2 linked regions of the Schizosaccharomyces pombe genome follow. Changing the gene in region 2 together with the main gene of any one other region gives a genetic interaction. Each region holds a gene or a part of one and is shown on either strand. Other genes may lie near its edges.

The links. A genetic interaction does not mean that the proteins touch.
Region 1: of grx5 (region 2) and isa2, extra expression of one rescues a mutant of the other (dosage rescue), as found in Schizosaccharomyces pombe (one study listed by BioGRID).

Annotation. Positions count from the first base shown.
Region 1 is NC_003423.3:4,017,004-4,024,241, forward strand, and holds isa2 (Fe-sulfur protein Isa2), read left to right. Parts: upstream 1-3,268; 5' UTR 3,269-3,305; coding exon 3,306-3,751; exon of another isoform or gene 3,752-3,789; intron 3,790-3,820; coding exon 3,821-3,992; 3' UTR 3,993-4,104; downstream 4,105-7,238. Other genes in the region: nucleoporin, WD repeat Nup120, read right to left, coding at 1-1,764; vma7 (V-type ATPase V1 subunit F), read right to left, coding at 4,199-4,425, 4,484-4,619; GrpE domain-containing chaperone mge1, read left to right, coding at 5,544-6,215. UniProt on the Schizosaccharomyces pombe protein: Involved in the assembly of mitochondrial and cytoplasmic iron-sulfur proteins. Probably involved in the binding of an intermediate of Fe/S cluster assembly.
Region 2 is NC_003424.3:2,705,851-2,713,751, forward strand, and holds grx5 (mitochondrial [2Fe-2S] cluster assembly and transfer glutaredoxin Grx5), read left to right. Parts: upstream 1-2,197; 5' UTR 2,198-2,246; coding exon 2,247-2,596; exon of another isoform or gene 2,597-2,928; coding exon 2,929-3,019; 3' UTR 3,020-3,459; downstream 3,460-7,901. Other genes in the region: gpi12 (pig-L family GPI synthesis protein), read right to left, coding at 426-702, 754-821, 878-1,068, 1,133-1,343; G1/S-specific B-type cyclin Cig2, read left to right, coding at 5,230-6,465; P2 type calcium transporting P-type ATPase Pmc1, read right to left, coding at 7,203-7,901. UniProt on the Schizosaccharomyces pombe protein: Monothiol glutaredoxin involved in mitochondrial iron-sulfur (Fe/S) cluster transfer. Receives 2Fe/2S clusters from scaffold protein isu1 and mediates their transfer to apoproteins, to the 4Fe/FS cluster biosynthesis machinery, or export from mitochondrion.

The sequences.
Region 1 (7,238 bases), on a different chromosome or scaffold from region 2:
TGACATACAGGAATGTAAACTCCTACCAAGATCCAGAATTTGATAACCTTCAATTAGAGAAGGATCATCTGTTTCAAGGGAACTAATTAATTTGGTCAACGGCTCTTCGTCAAAGGATTCAATGAGATAAGGATCCCTAATAAAAGCCACTTTATTTGCATAATTGATATATGTAACAGCGTTCGAAGGATCGAAGTTAATACTTAATATTTCATCTCCAAAATGATCCAGATATGCAACAAGTTTCGCAAACCTTTCCCATTCATTATATAATAGCCGCTTATATTCATAATAATCGTATCCAGTTAAATCTGAATTTGGCTCTATTTGGATCGTTGAAACTATAGACGACAAAACGGCATTTTTAAGTTCACTTATAGTAAGTGCGCCAAATTTATCCAGTTTATTTTTTGAAACTTGCGAGGAGCTGTTTTGAAAGCTTAAAAGAGCAACTTGTATAGACTCAATAGATGTATTATGTGCAAAAATGTGTTGTAGCCAAATCTCTGAGATATCCCCAGACGACATGTTTGTTGGAACGTCAAAAAAGGTTTTTTCTATGAGGGAAAAGCTATCCAAAGAGTGACTCCAAACGCATGAAAAACTCTCGTCCTGATCTAGACTAAGGTTGCATTTTTGGATAACGGTATTTAAGTTGCTTTTCCAAGCAATAATGAGCAAAAATTTAGATTGAGAGCCCTCTGACGATATCAGTTGAAAATCAGAAAGCATCCATGGTATGAACTCATCGTCTGGTAAAGAAGGAGGAATTATGCCCTTCTCGATGACAACATTTAATTTAAAAGAGTGGGCGTTTGCGTTAAGTTTGTAAATTGAAAAAGAGCCATGAGAATTATCTGGGTAATACAGAGCGATGAAAGAATTAGTGGTGTGATCTGAAGTTAAATAAGGAAAGGATTGTAGAGGAAGTATAGTCTGTGACAGTTCAATGGTTTCGACGCATTGATTAGTAGACAAATCCAAAACTTTTAACTTATAGTCAAGCGATAGCATCACAAGAACATTATAGGTAGACAAAAAAATCATTGAAATAATAGTATTAGGAGAGCGGTAATCTGCCTTAAATGCCTGAAGTGATAGATATTTTTTTAGGGAAAACAAATAACTAGAATCATCAATATGCTGTTCGTAGTGACTAGCGTCTTTTGGATTTAATATAATCTTTGTTAAACCTCCATTGAAAAAGCTTACACAAATTTCAGACGTGCTAATTGCGGCCATTAAATCGGGTTTTTGATTCAGAAAGGATATTGGTCGGTAACAAAGACACCAATCGTCGTCTAAGCGAGCGTCCGGTAATTGGAACCAAGTTTTAGATAATCTAATATAATACAAAACGCGAGCGTGAGTAATAGCATATATAATGGTCGTGTCGGAATGCTCACTGAACGAGAAAGCTACACCGTCCTTCATTACGTTGGATGGAAAATGAATTTTCACATTAAATTTTGATAAAGGCTCCTTCTTAGAATTTAATGAAACATCAAAGATAGTGAGTGTTCTGTTTTGGAATATACTCCATCGTAAAGTTTGTGAACCTTTGCTTTTATTTGAGGTATAAACACCTGCATCATATGCTACACATTCCTTTTTAAAAAGTTTTTCATTATCATCAGCTGTTTCTATAGCTTCAGAATCGTCTTCCGAGTCGTTTTCGAGAGCTGGAACCCACAACGCCAAAGTTCCTTCCAGACAAAAAGATTGTAAGTCTATCGGAACTACCGCATGCTTTAATTCATTCATATTTTGATTTTATTTTTTACTGGTAGCGGTAATACCAGTAGAAATACCAAACAAATAGCTAACAATAGGGGGCAGTTCTGGTTGAGTATCGTAGACAACGACCTACACGAGTTAGCGTAAGACAGGCCAGTCCTACAACGAATTTATGAGAAACGCGTAAATACGAGTATATTTGTAATTCTTTAGCTTTTTAGGGTAGAGGGAGATGGAATGTAAAACTGAATTTTCTTCTTGAAGATTAAGTTCCTTAATAAAATAGAATCATTTGATTGTGGATGAAGAAAGCTAAACAATTTGATAGTTTTTATTAATCGAGCAATTCCTTTGTATTCATAATAATAAAAAAGGAATCAAATATTCATTTAAAACTCAAGAGCTTAAATGGATTCTCTATTTTATTTGTGAAATTACATACAACAGTAAAAGATCTTCAAGATATCAGAAGCCTTTCTTAGATTATTGTTAGTTTTTTTTATTATTTTTTGTATACCTGTAACTTTTTAGCTGTTGTTTTAAGAGATTAAATCTATTTAAATTAACAGTACTCATCTTTAGGGTCTTAATTTACAGCCTTTCAATCTTTTTTAATAAAATAGTTTTCTAATTTTCTAGTTTTGTTTATTTTTAAATTTTGCAAATTCTTAGTAAATAAAACATGTAATATTTTCAACCATACGTTAAATTGTAAATTACATTTTAATAAATATTAATTACGTGCAAGGGTGAATTATTGTTCATTGGCATGCAATTTATAATTTATTTTTTTTATTGCAGATACAACCAATTCTAAGTCTAATAGCCAAGATCTCTTATACCTGATTCAATATTACAATTGCGGTGATATGTGCTTGTACGAACACCCGCAACTTTATAGTAATTAAGCGGTAGTACATACACTGGTATCACGATAAAGAATTAGCTAAAGTAGAAGATTGTAGCAATGGCATCAATTGTGATAAAGACATTTTCTGGATGTGATCCACCGGTCTATGCTAGAATTAAAGGATCGACAATAAATATCCAGAAGAAGAATTAACCAAATGGGTTGAAATTATCTCTAATAGCTAAAAATCTATTCATTTAAAACTGAAAGAGAATTAAAGGAGTAGGAGTACCAAAAGGTAAAAATAATCCAAAGATATTAATTTTGACTATAAATCATCACAAAATTTAGTAGCATACAACATAAGTAAAAAAGAACATTAAATAATTCTAGATATATTTGATAAATTCCCCTTATTCTCTACTAGCTATGGGTGTGAGAGTTTTGTAAGTTCGAATTCAATCTATCCGATATAAATCTCTTAGAGATTGGGTGTTAACTAATAGGTAAATCCCTGAATTTGACTTTAGTCTATGACACACTCGTCAAGTTATGACTATTTCATTTATGTACTTAACTTCTCTATCTCATAAACATAAGCACCAATTTGGAATATACTGAATTAACGAAACAGAGCGTAGGCAATTTGACTTCTATTACGTTACTGTATGTTTACAAGTTAGAAAGTCCTAACTTGTGGCTATAATACTTTGCAGTGATGCTTATGAAATCGCGAGTAAACTTATTGTTTAAAGGACCATTTTTCTTTCGAGAACGTTGTTTTCAAACACTCTTAAATCCTGTGATCGCAATTCGACAGCTATCGCATGGATCGCTTAGAAATTCTCGATCATGTAGAATTGATGCGAAATCGAATACATTAACGAAAGAAATATTTCCCAAAATAAATAATGAATTCAAAATCAAAAATCGATTTTATAGCTCAAAGCTTGCGAACGACCAATTCACGCTTCAAGAGCAATGTGACGAGAAGGGAATCCCTTTTATTTTATACGTGAAAGATTCAGCGAAAAAACAGTTAGAAAAAATTGCAGAAAGGAAACCAGAAGAAAACTCTGTTTTGCGCGTCACTGTCGATGGTGGTGGATGCCATGGATATCAAGTATCTTTTCGCATGGACAACAAAATTGGAAATGCTGACACGTAAGTGATGTGGTTAAGAAGACTATAAGTTTTAATTAAGTATTTCCTGGTTATTGACTAAATATCTAGGGTATTTGTGCGTGGAAAAGCCAGGGTTGTTGCTGACAACATTTCATTACCTTTGATAAGTGGCTCTGAAATTGAGTATACAAATGAACTTATTGGTTCCTCTTTTCAACTTTTAAACAATCCACGTGCCAAGACTTCTTGTGGTTGTAATGTCAGTTTTGATGTTGAATGAGATTTATACTTAAAATAATACATTTCTCTTATAATCACTTTTCTATTTATCAAATATAGTTTAACAAAAACTCTGCTTACAATTTTTTGCTAGTATGCCAGTAAGTAAACCAAAAGATACAAATATAAAAGTGTCATCAGTCAAATCGATCGAGTTGTTGACTAATTGAAATTATTGCTCAAAAAATATAATTAAATATTAATAGTCTATTCTCCAATGATCTTTCTAACACGACGGAGGATACTGTCCTTTTCAGGATCATAAGGATCGTCTTTGCTAGGAATTTCCAATACAGCAGGGAATGCCTGCACATGGTTTTCAATACGATCACGTATTCTTTCAGCGGCAAACTGGTTAATCAATACAATCGCAATATCCTTCCTTTTCGTAGTATAATCATCAAAAGCTTCAGCAATCTGCTCATCTGTAGTCTCTACATAAAACAGCAAGTTAGCGAAAACACGATTCCATTTTTTAACAGATAATCTTACTCTGAGTAATTATAAAAAAGTTTTTGTCACCGTTTTCATTTACCTGACCAGTTCCAGCTAAAAGCATCCCAGTAACGGTATCATCGTCTCCAATTACAGAAACAAGTGTCCGTTCTCGATATGATTGTGAAGACATGATTTAGAGAGATAAGTATTTAGAAAATCTAGGTAAACGTCCAAGCAGGAAAATAGGAGAGTATGGTGCTACTTGAAAGCGCAACTTCTGGACTAGTAGGCGATTAAAAGTGTTCAGTGGTTGAATCGTAAATTTTCACAAAGCTTAGATAAATATTTAACAGAAAGCTATGGCTCTGCCTCTACAATCCTCAAATGTATTCCTGAGTTTAAGTAGTGATGGTGGATGAAAGTGTAAGGTCCAATACCGATAAGACATATCTGACACTTAACTAAGGTACCTTTTATTATGAAGACTTCTGTAATTAAGAATATGATATTATTATAATAGGAATTTGTGAAAATTCGACTCCCATAAATTGTTCAACAAATATCATTATGCAAATAAACTGATGAATGTAAAAATAATAAGATGGCCCAGATGACACAAATAGGATTATTTTAAAACTTAAATTATAATATTCAATTATTTTACTTTCAAAGGCTGCGAAGTAAGTACTTCGATATAATCCAATGCCGTAAAGCATACCAAGAAGGATATAAATATAGATGAGAAATCAGTTAATTATTATCTGTTGAGAATGAAGCTGAAAAGAATAAATTAATAATTGATAAGCATATGAGCCGTTGTTGGCTTCCAGTGTTGAGCAAATTCGAAATTTGGGTTGCTTTCCTACATGCATGTTCAAACCTACAATCAATTTGTTACATATCGAAATAGAAGCTTTAATTTGAGAAAAAAGTGTCATTTATATATTTTTTGAATCAGCTTCCATCTCAAAGTCCATACCTCATTTAACGAAACATAACGAATTTTTAAGTTGATGAAATTGATATTTGTAAAATTTAACAGTGCTAAGTTCACAACACCATTTGTCTATAGTGTGACACAGTTGTCTTTTACCACAAAGCTCTCACTGAAACAATGCTTGGGCTTGGAAGAGTATTTTCATCCGCTGTACGTCCTCGGACGCTTATTCGAGCACCCATTAATAAACGCAGTTTCCTTTGGTACTCAACTGAGGCTGCTAAGGAAGAAAAGCCTGCTGAAGAAAAAGTTGCCGAAACAGAGAATGTTGATGTTAAGGAACTTCAATCTAAGCTTTCTGAGCTTAAAAGTAAATATGAAGCAAAGGACAAAGAGGTTGCGGAGTTAAAGGGTAGCATTCGCCAAAGCTTAGCTGACTATCGTAATTTGGAAAACCGCATGAAGAGAGACATGGAGCAAACACGTGCATTTGCTGTTCAAAAGCTTACTAAGGATCTTTTGGATTCTGTCGATAATTTGGAGCGTGCTCTTTCAATTGTTCCAGAGGAGAAGCGTAACAATCGTGAGTCCAACAAGGATTTAGTTGATCTTTATGAAGGTTTAGCAATGACTGAATCGAACTTAATGAAAACCTTAGGAAAATATGGTTTAGTTCGCTATGACGGTATCGGAGAAGATTTTGATCCTAACATCCATGAAGCTGTTTTCCAAATCCCTGTTGAAGGTAAAAAGCCCAACACTGTCTTCCATTGCGAAAGCAAGGGTTTTCAATTGAATGGAAGAGTTATTCGTCCTGCCAAGGTTGGTGTTGTTAAGGGAGACGACTAGAGGAGCTAGTCAAAGATGATAGCAAGGAGCATACGAATACGTCGTTTCACCTATATTATTTTAATGACCAATTCGGGGTTTTTTTTTATTTTTAAACTCTCAATGTTTGTCTGGAAAGTCCTTTGTGGTATTATTGGATTTTTTCAGTCTTTTCAGGGGAACCAGAAGTCTTTCTGTGCAGATGCTTTTTTCTGCAAACTAATAGTCAAAGACAGATCGTAAAAAGTTTCATTGCATTTTTTGGGCTATGGGTACATTATTATATTTTTACCGAGGGGACTTGAATCCAATGTTTTTGTGTGGTTTGGGTTTATTGTTTAGTGATTTGCTATCACAACATAGTACCTATTTTTACTTACATTTATAAATAAAATTTTTACTCTTTAATACTATAGCTTTCACCCAAACTGGTTAAAGAATTTTGATATTTCCTTCTAAAGATTACTCAAAAGCATTTCTTTAAGAGTTAAAAGTGGAACCAAGTGGAAGGTATGTATTCTATCATTTAGTTTTATAGAATATTAAAGTTCCGAAAGTTGATATGTGCTTTAACGGTTAAGCCTCCTTTTCAAGTATTCGTAGAAGTTAAGCTAGTGTTCTGTATTACAAATTAGTAAGGAATTTTGACTAGTTTAGATGATTTTTTTGTTTTTTATAAAATAGATATGTAATAACAAACTTGCTAATAAAGTATTGATTGGAAGCAGCTAGCCTGTTCGAACTAAGCCATAGTATAAGACATTACTCAATCAGCCTAATCTAATAGATAGATATTCAAAGTTACAAATGATAAGCATGAGATCGTTTGTGGGTGATCCCGTTGCTTTTAACTTTATTAAGAATCTAGTCAATGAATAGTTTTTAATCCAGCACTGATATCGTCAGAATTGCATATTCGAGAGATATATTCATTTTTTCCAGCTCAGTAATTACACTATTACTAAATAAACTCACTTCTTAGCGATACACTACCGCAAGGGTTTACGTCTTTATTTAGATCAAGAAATGGTGCCTTGCATACTA
Region 2 (7,901 bases):
AAAGTAATGAGAAACTTTCAATGTCGTGTGCAATTCTACAGTAGTGAGTCATAGATTTGCTTCTGAAGAAATGTCAAATTTGCTAATAGCTCTTATGAAACTACGCTGATGACACTGTATTTGATGCTGGAGAATCCGTTCGGTGAAGGCACAATGATTTCTCAAAAGACTACAACGGTATCTGAGTGGTACAAGAAGACAAATGCATATTTTGGCTTAAAGATTTTTTTTAATCTTCAATTAAGTCTTTAATAAAAATATTTTTTAATTAAAAGACCTAAGATTTTGTAGCATGCTGAAAATAGGCAAAGTTTTAAAAAAGAAATTGATCGTAACACAAGTTGAAAACGTTAGGGTTTATTCTGAATGATTTTATGTGAGGCAGTTTTTAAAATTATTCTCGTATGGTGCTGTATACTGTAAGTTTAAGTAGCCCGCTTTAATACATTGTTAGACATATACTTAGACAAGTATATCCAGCCGTAGCGAAACCAAACCATTTGACTTTTGTGTCCTCGTACCATAGCATCGCGTATGCGCTGAGTAGATTTTCGATCTGCGTGAATGATTATTGTATCGTTTCGACCCGCCTGACTTTGGACAAGAGTGGGAATGGTGTCCAAATATGAGATGTATTTTCGAAATATATTAACCGACTCTAAAACGAAGACTTGAACTTGGGGAGTAGCTTTGACAATTTTCCTATAAACAAGATGATATTAGCTGACAATCGTGTAAATAAGTAATACTTACATGGCACCTTCGTAACATGCGATATGGTTTGGGTGACCGGATATTCCTTTATTGTCAAAGGTAATGAGCTAAAATTATATTAGATGGTCTATTAATTGGATAACTGACCAAAAATAAAGCGTACCGTTTTAATGTTGTAACGTTCAATTATTTGAGAAATGTGTTTCGCTACATCGGTTGGATCCCATTTTGCCTGCATACCGTCTTGCAATTGAGGATCTGACACAACATGAACATTGGTTTTATCAATTTGGTACTTAGAAGCAGCGACGACCAACTCTTTTTCTCTAACGCTTCCGAGCCCATCGGCATTGCCTAAAATCGGAGTTAGTTCGACACATAATTGATAAAATGGAAAACTGGACCAACTGTTTCATACCATTAGAAAGACACAAAACATGAACTCGAGTAGAATGCTGATTGCCTAAATAGTCGATGGTGGGACCAAAAAACATAGATTCATCATCGGGATGAGCAAAGACGAAAAGGATTGATTCAACTGCTAATTTCTCTTGACCAGAAGAGGATTCATTTGCAGTGGATAATACAGCTATTGCGGTAACTAACAAAGTTGACCAAAACCAAATCATAGTGGTGCAATCTTAGTTGGAAATTTCAATAATTTTAATATGAAGAAATCTTTTTTAAACTATCAAATTAATTAAAATGAATAGATTAAAAAAAAAAAGAGATATATGGTTGCCTAGTTTGTTATAGGAGTATACAATGGACTTTTGCAAATGGATGAGGATTACATATGTCATGTTTGAACAATACTGTCAAGAACAAGTTTACACTCAACTCATACGAATTACAAAAAAGCGGATACATTACTTAGTAAATGTTTTACAGCTACATAATATATATGTTATTTCCAGACTTATATAGTTAATTACATTATTCATTACCCTGTGAACTACTATCGCTCAGTGAGACGGATAGGGAAAGAGGCAAAAAACTGTAAAAGTACTTCAAAGGATAAGGTAAAAGTAAGAGGAATATATTTACTTTGGAAAACAGAGAGGACCCAAAGAACATAATAAACTACCATAAGTTGGAGCGGAAGCTATGCATATATTTTATAGAGAACAAATATGAGTTATCAGGAATTTCGGAAAAGAGCCAGGATCCATTATATTTTTACATTCCTTTAATAGAAATAAAGGGCCAAGGGAGCCAGATGGATTGCAAAATCTATATTCATTAAGGAATTTGATTTAGCTGCGTTCTTCTCGAAATCAGAAACTGATTAGTACAATATTAAGTCTTTTATCCCACGATATACTTTTCTAATAAAATAAATATTCTTATAAAACTTTTCTAAAAGTACTGATTTTCTATAATATTATACTGATTTAAGACTTGGAAGAATTCTATATAGCGCAATAGAACGTGGTACGGCTTCTTACACTTTTATCTGCGGCGAATCAATGAGTTGACATTCAAGCTCAAAATTGCCTTATTATAAACACTTTACAATATCCATATTCAAGATGAATTCGATGTTTAGATTTTGGATTCCTAAAACCAGTATATCCATGCAACTTCGCATGCTGTCCACACAAACTCGTCAAGCTCTTGAACAGGCCGTCAAAGAGGATCCTATCGTTTTATTCATGAAAGGTACACCTACCCGCCCAATGTGTGGATTTTCATTAAAGGCGATTCAAATTCTTTCATTAGAAAACGTTGCTTCCGATAAATTAGTTACGTACAACGTTTTGAGTAATGATGAGCTACGTGAAGGTATAAAGGAGTTCAGCGACTGGCCTACGATTCCTCAACTTTATATTAACGGAGAATTCGTGGGCGGTAGTGATATCTTGGCGTCCATGCATAAATCGTAAGTAATGTTTTAAACTGTATTTTTATTATTTGGTAGAGAGACGGTGAGGATTGAGGAGGTGTCATAGGAAATGTTAAAGATGATGAAGGAGGATTCTACAACTGTTTAATCACTCTAGTTGATATTAAAGATAAAAAAACCCTGTTATATTTTCGCTCTTTCTTCAAATGAACTTTCCCTTTTAAAGCATTGGATAAAAATCAACTATTAGTGTATCAGTGTCTTTAATTCGTCGTCTATATATGCCACATTGTTCTCTCCCTCATTTTTTCTCTCATATTTAATTATTTCTCCTTGTCAACATTTCTGTATTAACAATTTGTCTGTAGAGGAGAGCTTCACAAAATTCTAAAAGAAATAAATGCTTTGGCCCCTGAACAGCCAAAGGATAGTGAAGAGGAAACTACTAAAAAGGATTGAGTCCACATTGCAAATTAATTTGCACAACGTACCACGGTCTTGTGCATTTTTTAGTTTATTGGTCAACTTGACACCACAGGCCATGTATATCAATCAGACGTTATTCAATTATCTTTTTGCTGTACGCTTGATATTCTTTAATGAAGCTTTGAAATTCTGTTTCTCCTCTTTTTTGTGTTCATGCCCTTTCATGACAAAATGTTGGAAATAATGTAAAAGAGCTCTATAAGAAAAAATAATTTTTATCGGAAGTTATTTTTTGGATCAACCTCAATATCAATTTGAAAGCGATCATGTTCATGTTCATGTCCATCCAAATGACATAGAGAATGGAAATTAGTGTCGTGATTTATGCCTTATTGTTATTCCTTGACTTTTTTTTTAAAAAAAATGTCGTAAATTAGATTTAATGTTAAAGCGCTATTGCTGAATACTGTTTTATTTTGCTTATGTTGTTGCACAGAACAATGTCTTGGTAGGTGTAATTCACAGAAAGCATTACGATTGGTTATCTGATATGATTTAAAAATTCTTCTTTGATTATATAAAGTACTGGCTTATCGACGTTACGAGACGTTTACCAAACTTTTATTAACAGATGCTTGTGTTTCTTGACAAACAACATTATTCCTTCCAAGCTCAGCATATAGCGAATTATAGTGTAACTGCGATATAAAGTATTAGCGAACTCTCCCTTTTTAATTCTATTCAAATTGCGTTAGTTTGTGTAGCATGTAATGACGGCACGCGCATAGTGAATTGTAATATACAAAACGCTACACCAAAGCGCGCGCTCTAAAACACGCCAAAACGAGGTGCACGCAACTTAGCTTGCGCGAAAGCGCGTTTCTCGCGTCGCGTCGCGTTTACTTCTTTTATATGCTTGCTATGCCTGTCTTTTGCTTTTTCACTGACACTTTGACTTGTGTTGAGTTACAAGAAAGGCTTCAAAGGCACTTGTACAAGTGTAATTTCCCTTTTACAAGACTCTACCAAAGGTTGGATCCACCTTGAAGTCCTTCTCTTGTTGTCGCTGCTTTTTGCGTTTCTTCTTTTCTCTTTGAATATTCCTTCTTTCTAATTTCTTTTTTCAAATACATGCTATAGGGATCAGTTTAGGCTCCATATACTAGGTTGAGCTGGTTTTAACTGTAAACAATAGTAAATTAAGCTTTCAGTATTTTGAGTGTCAAGCTAGTTTTTACTCCGGAGTATCTTATTTCTACTGTACTTATTTTCTTTTAATTAATTTTTTACACTTTTCAGCTGCTAAGTGTCGGTTTCTATTGTGTACTTTACCGTTTTAAGTTTCTTTGTTTTCTTTGTTCTGGTTCGCTTATTGTCCTACTCTTTTACAGGAGGCGCTTGCCAAAGACAGTCATTTCTCTTATAACAAGTACACTATATCTTATTAAAACATAATTAATCGTCCCCTTTCGATATTAGTGCAACAATTGCTATCCTACAGTCTTCCCAATTGCAATTTATTTAGCCTTTCAGCATTGCTCTCGCCCTCAAGCTGAAAAGGTTTTACTCGCTTTTCTTGCTGGAAAAATAACACCTACATTTGTTATTCTTTTAAATTCGAACTATCAAACTTATTTGCTTGTATTGTTCGTCTTAGTGCTGCTTTTTCTGATCCATCGTTTGTTTATCAAACCTTCAACTTTGCTTTTTCTAAACTAATTACAAAGAAGTGTTCTTTTTAATTCTCTTCGTTAATCATTGTCCCTTTAAACTACGCTCTTGTGCTTTATAAGAGTTAATTCTGCATACCTCAAAGAGGTAAATTCATTTTCGAATCGAACGTTAAAAAATTTATCTTTACTTTTTTTTCTTTCTCAATTTTGATTACATCTGCTTGTTTTTTTTTTTCGTTTATATCCACAACAGTAGGTTGGTTTGGTTTGTTTACACAATTCATTTGTTTATGTTTGGACGATTTCTTTCCCTTTCTTCCTATCAACAACAATAGAATAATTCGGACCCATTGATTTATTCTCATTTAAAAGAGAAACTTTAAAAATTCGCTATAAGTGCTTTCTGTTTCTCGATCGCTCAATTTCCCTAATTTATCCATCTTGTCAATTGAGATTAATTTACCAAAAACAGTTTCCTTATTTTAATAAAAAGAAGACATTTTTGGTTACAAACAATCAGATATATTTCTATACGTTGATAAAAGGGTAATTTATCAATCCATATTTCATATGGCTCTCTATTCAATTTCAAAGCCTGTTGGTTCTAAAATCAATAAGCATAGTTATCAAGATGAAAACACACTTGTTGGCAAACAAGCTTTATCAAAAGGGACTGAGAAGACAAAATTATCTACAAATTTTGAAATTAATCTGCCACGTCGAACTGTCCTATCTGATGTTTCCAATGTAGGTAAAAATAATGCTGATGAGAAGGATACGAAAAAAGCGAAAAGATCGTTCGATGAATCTAATTTATCTACAAATGAAGAAGCTGATAAACCTGTCGAATCTAAATTCGTGAAAAAGTTGAAAGTTTATAGCAAAAATGCGGATCCATCTGTAGAAACTTTACAAAAGGACAGAGTCTCTAATGTTGATGATCATTTATCCTCCAATCCTTTGATGGCTGAGGAATACGCACCCGAAATATTTGAGTACATCAGAAAGCTGGATTTAAAGTGTCTTCCCAATCCAAAATATATGGACCAACAAAAAGAATTAACCTGGAAAATGAGGGAAATTTTGAATGAATGGTTGGTGGAAATACATTCCAACTTTTGTTTAATGCCCGAAACCCTTTATTTGGCAGTCAATATAATTGATCGATTCTTGTCGCGTCGTTCATGCTCTTTGTCTAAATTTCAATTAACAGGCATTACTGCTCTTCTCATCGCTAGCAAATATGAGGAGGTTATGTGTCCTTCGATACAAAACTTTGTTTACATGACTGATGGTGCTTTTACCGTAGAAGATGTCTGTGTCGCTGAACGTTATATGTTAAATGTTCTCAATTTTGACTTGTCCTATCCAAGTCCTTTAAATTTTCTTCGCAAAATATCTCAAGCAGAAGGTTATGATGCACAAACAAGGACATTGGGGAAATACCTAACAGAAATTTATCTGTTTGACCACGATTTATTACGATATCCTATGTCTAAAATTGCTGCTGCCGCAATGTATTTGAGCCGCCGATTATTGCGTCGCGGCCCATGGACGCCAAAGTTAGTTGAAAGCTCTGGTGGGTATGAAGAGCATGAATTAAAGGAGATAGCGTATATTATGCTTCATTATCATAACAAGCCTCTAGAACACAAAGCCTTTTTCCAAAAATACTCCTCAAAAAGGTTCCTGAAGGCTAGTATTTTTGTTCATCAACTCGTCCGTCAACGATACTCAGTCAATCGTACGGACGATGATGACCTTCAATCAGAACCGTCTTCTTCTTTAACAAATGATGGTCACTAACGAACGCTCTTATAAATTTTCTTACGCAAATATTCTGTTGAATATGAGGTTGAGCTCTTCTTTTATTATTTATTATCATAACTTATTTACTTTTTAAAGAGCTTCTTTTTCTTCTTCTCTTTCTTTGAATCTTATCATCTTTATGCAAGGACTGTTTTCAAGTATGTCATCAAGCCTTTCCTCCTTGATAACTAAGTCCTTAATTATATACCATATACCCAAGTTTTATCCAAGAGTTTTAGAATTGAAAATTTTGTAGTCTACTAAACAAACCGTGTTGATGCTTAATCCTCACACATTGTCTTTTAGATGATTCCGTTGATTCTAGAGTATTCGATAATTTCATTCCTTACTTTATGTTACGTTTACATTTTTTATTTCAAAATACGTGTACGTTGTTTCCTCATATTTCTGTTAAACAACATGTTTCTAATTAATGGAGTTTTCTTTATTCATTCATAAAACTTAAAGCTCAAGCGGTATATAACAAACTGGCTAAACCATTAATAGGCAAAAACCAAGTAACTCATAAAGATAAACAAAGAAAGTAGACATAAGGAAAAAGGTAAAGCTGACTCGTTTTCTATACAAAAAGGGAATTTTTAAACCTAAGAAACAAACTTTTAATTGATAACAAATATAGAAAAAGAAGGCGATTTCCAACGAGAATAAGGAAATAAAAAAGAAAAATTCGATAATAGAATCACTGTTATTCTGTCTCATACATTCGTCTTAAATTAATGAACATTTGAGCTTTTTTTATCGAGAGCTTGGCGATTGTGAGAAATCCAAATGTCATGCCCACCTAATCGTCCGCTGGCTTCACTAACAAGTGTTGAGATAGGAATCATTAAAGCTACGCTAGTAGCTGAAGAAACAGAAGGTGAACGGATCTTCATAAATCTCTGTTTTACACGGGGACGAAGACGTTCAGGAAGCGCTTCCATCTGTTTATCAAATTTGGAGTTGTTGAGTAGGTGGCGTATCCTTCCTCCTCTAATGCGTTGAACGAAGCCAAGGGAATGACGAATAGAGTCAATAACTTCGTTGGGAGATGTGGGTTCATACGGGATAAGACTAAGGGATTCAACATCATGATCGGTTGAACGGCGCTTAGAACGGAACCTAGGATTTAGAATCCAAGAGAAAACAGTGTCAATTGTCTTAACCGGAAGGACCTTTCTTAGGAAATTGTTTGGTACACAACGAATCAAGGCTCCAAGTGGGATAGAGATAACACCAAACACGATGGAAATCGCCCATCCTTTACCATCGATTCTTTTTACGGAGAATGCGGCACCTCCGAAAAAAACAATTATAACTTGGATACCAGCAACAATAACGAAAATAGCAATAAAGAGGAAGTTATGGTTAATACGTTCAAAAATATTGAGCTTGTTATCCAATCTCCGATTGTTAATTTCGTTAAACAGCTG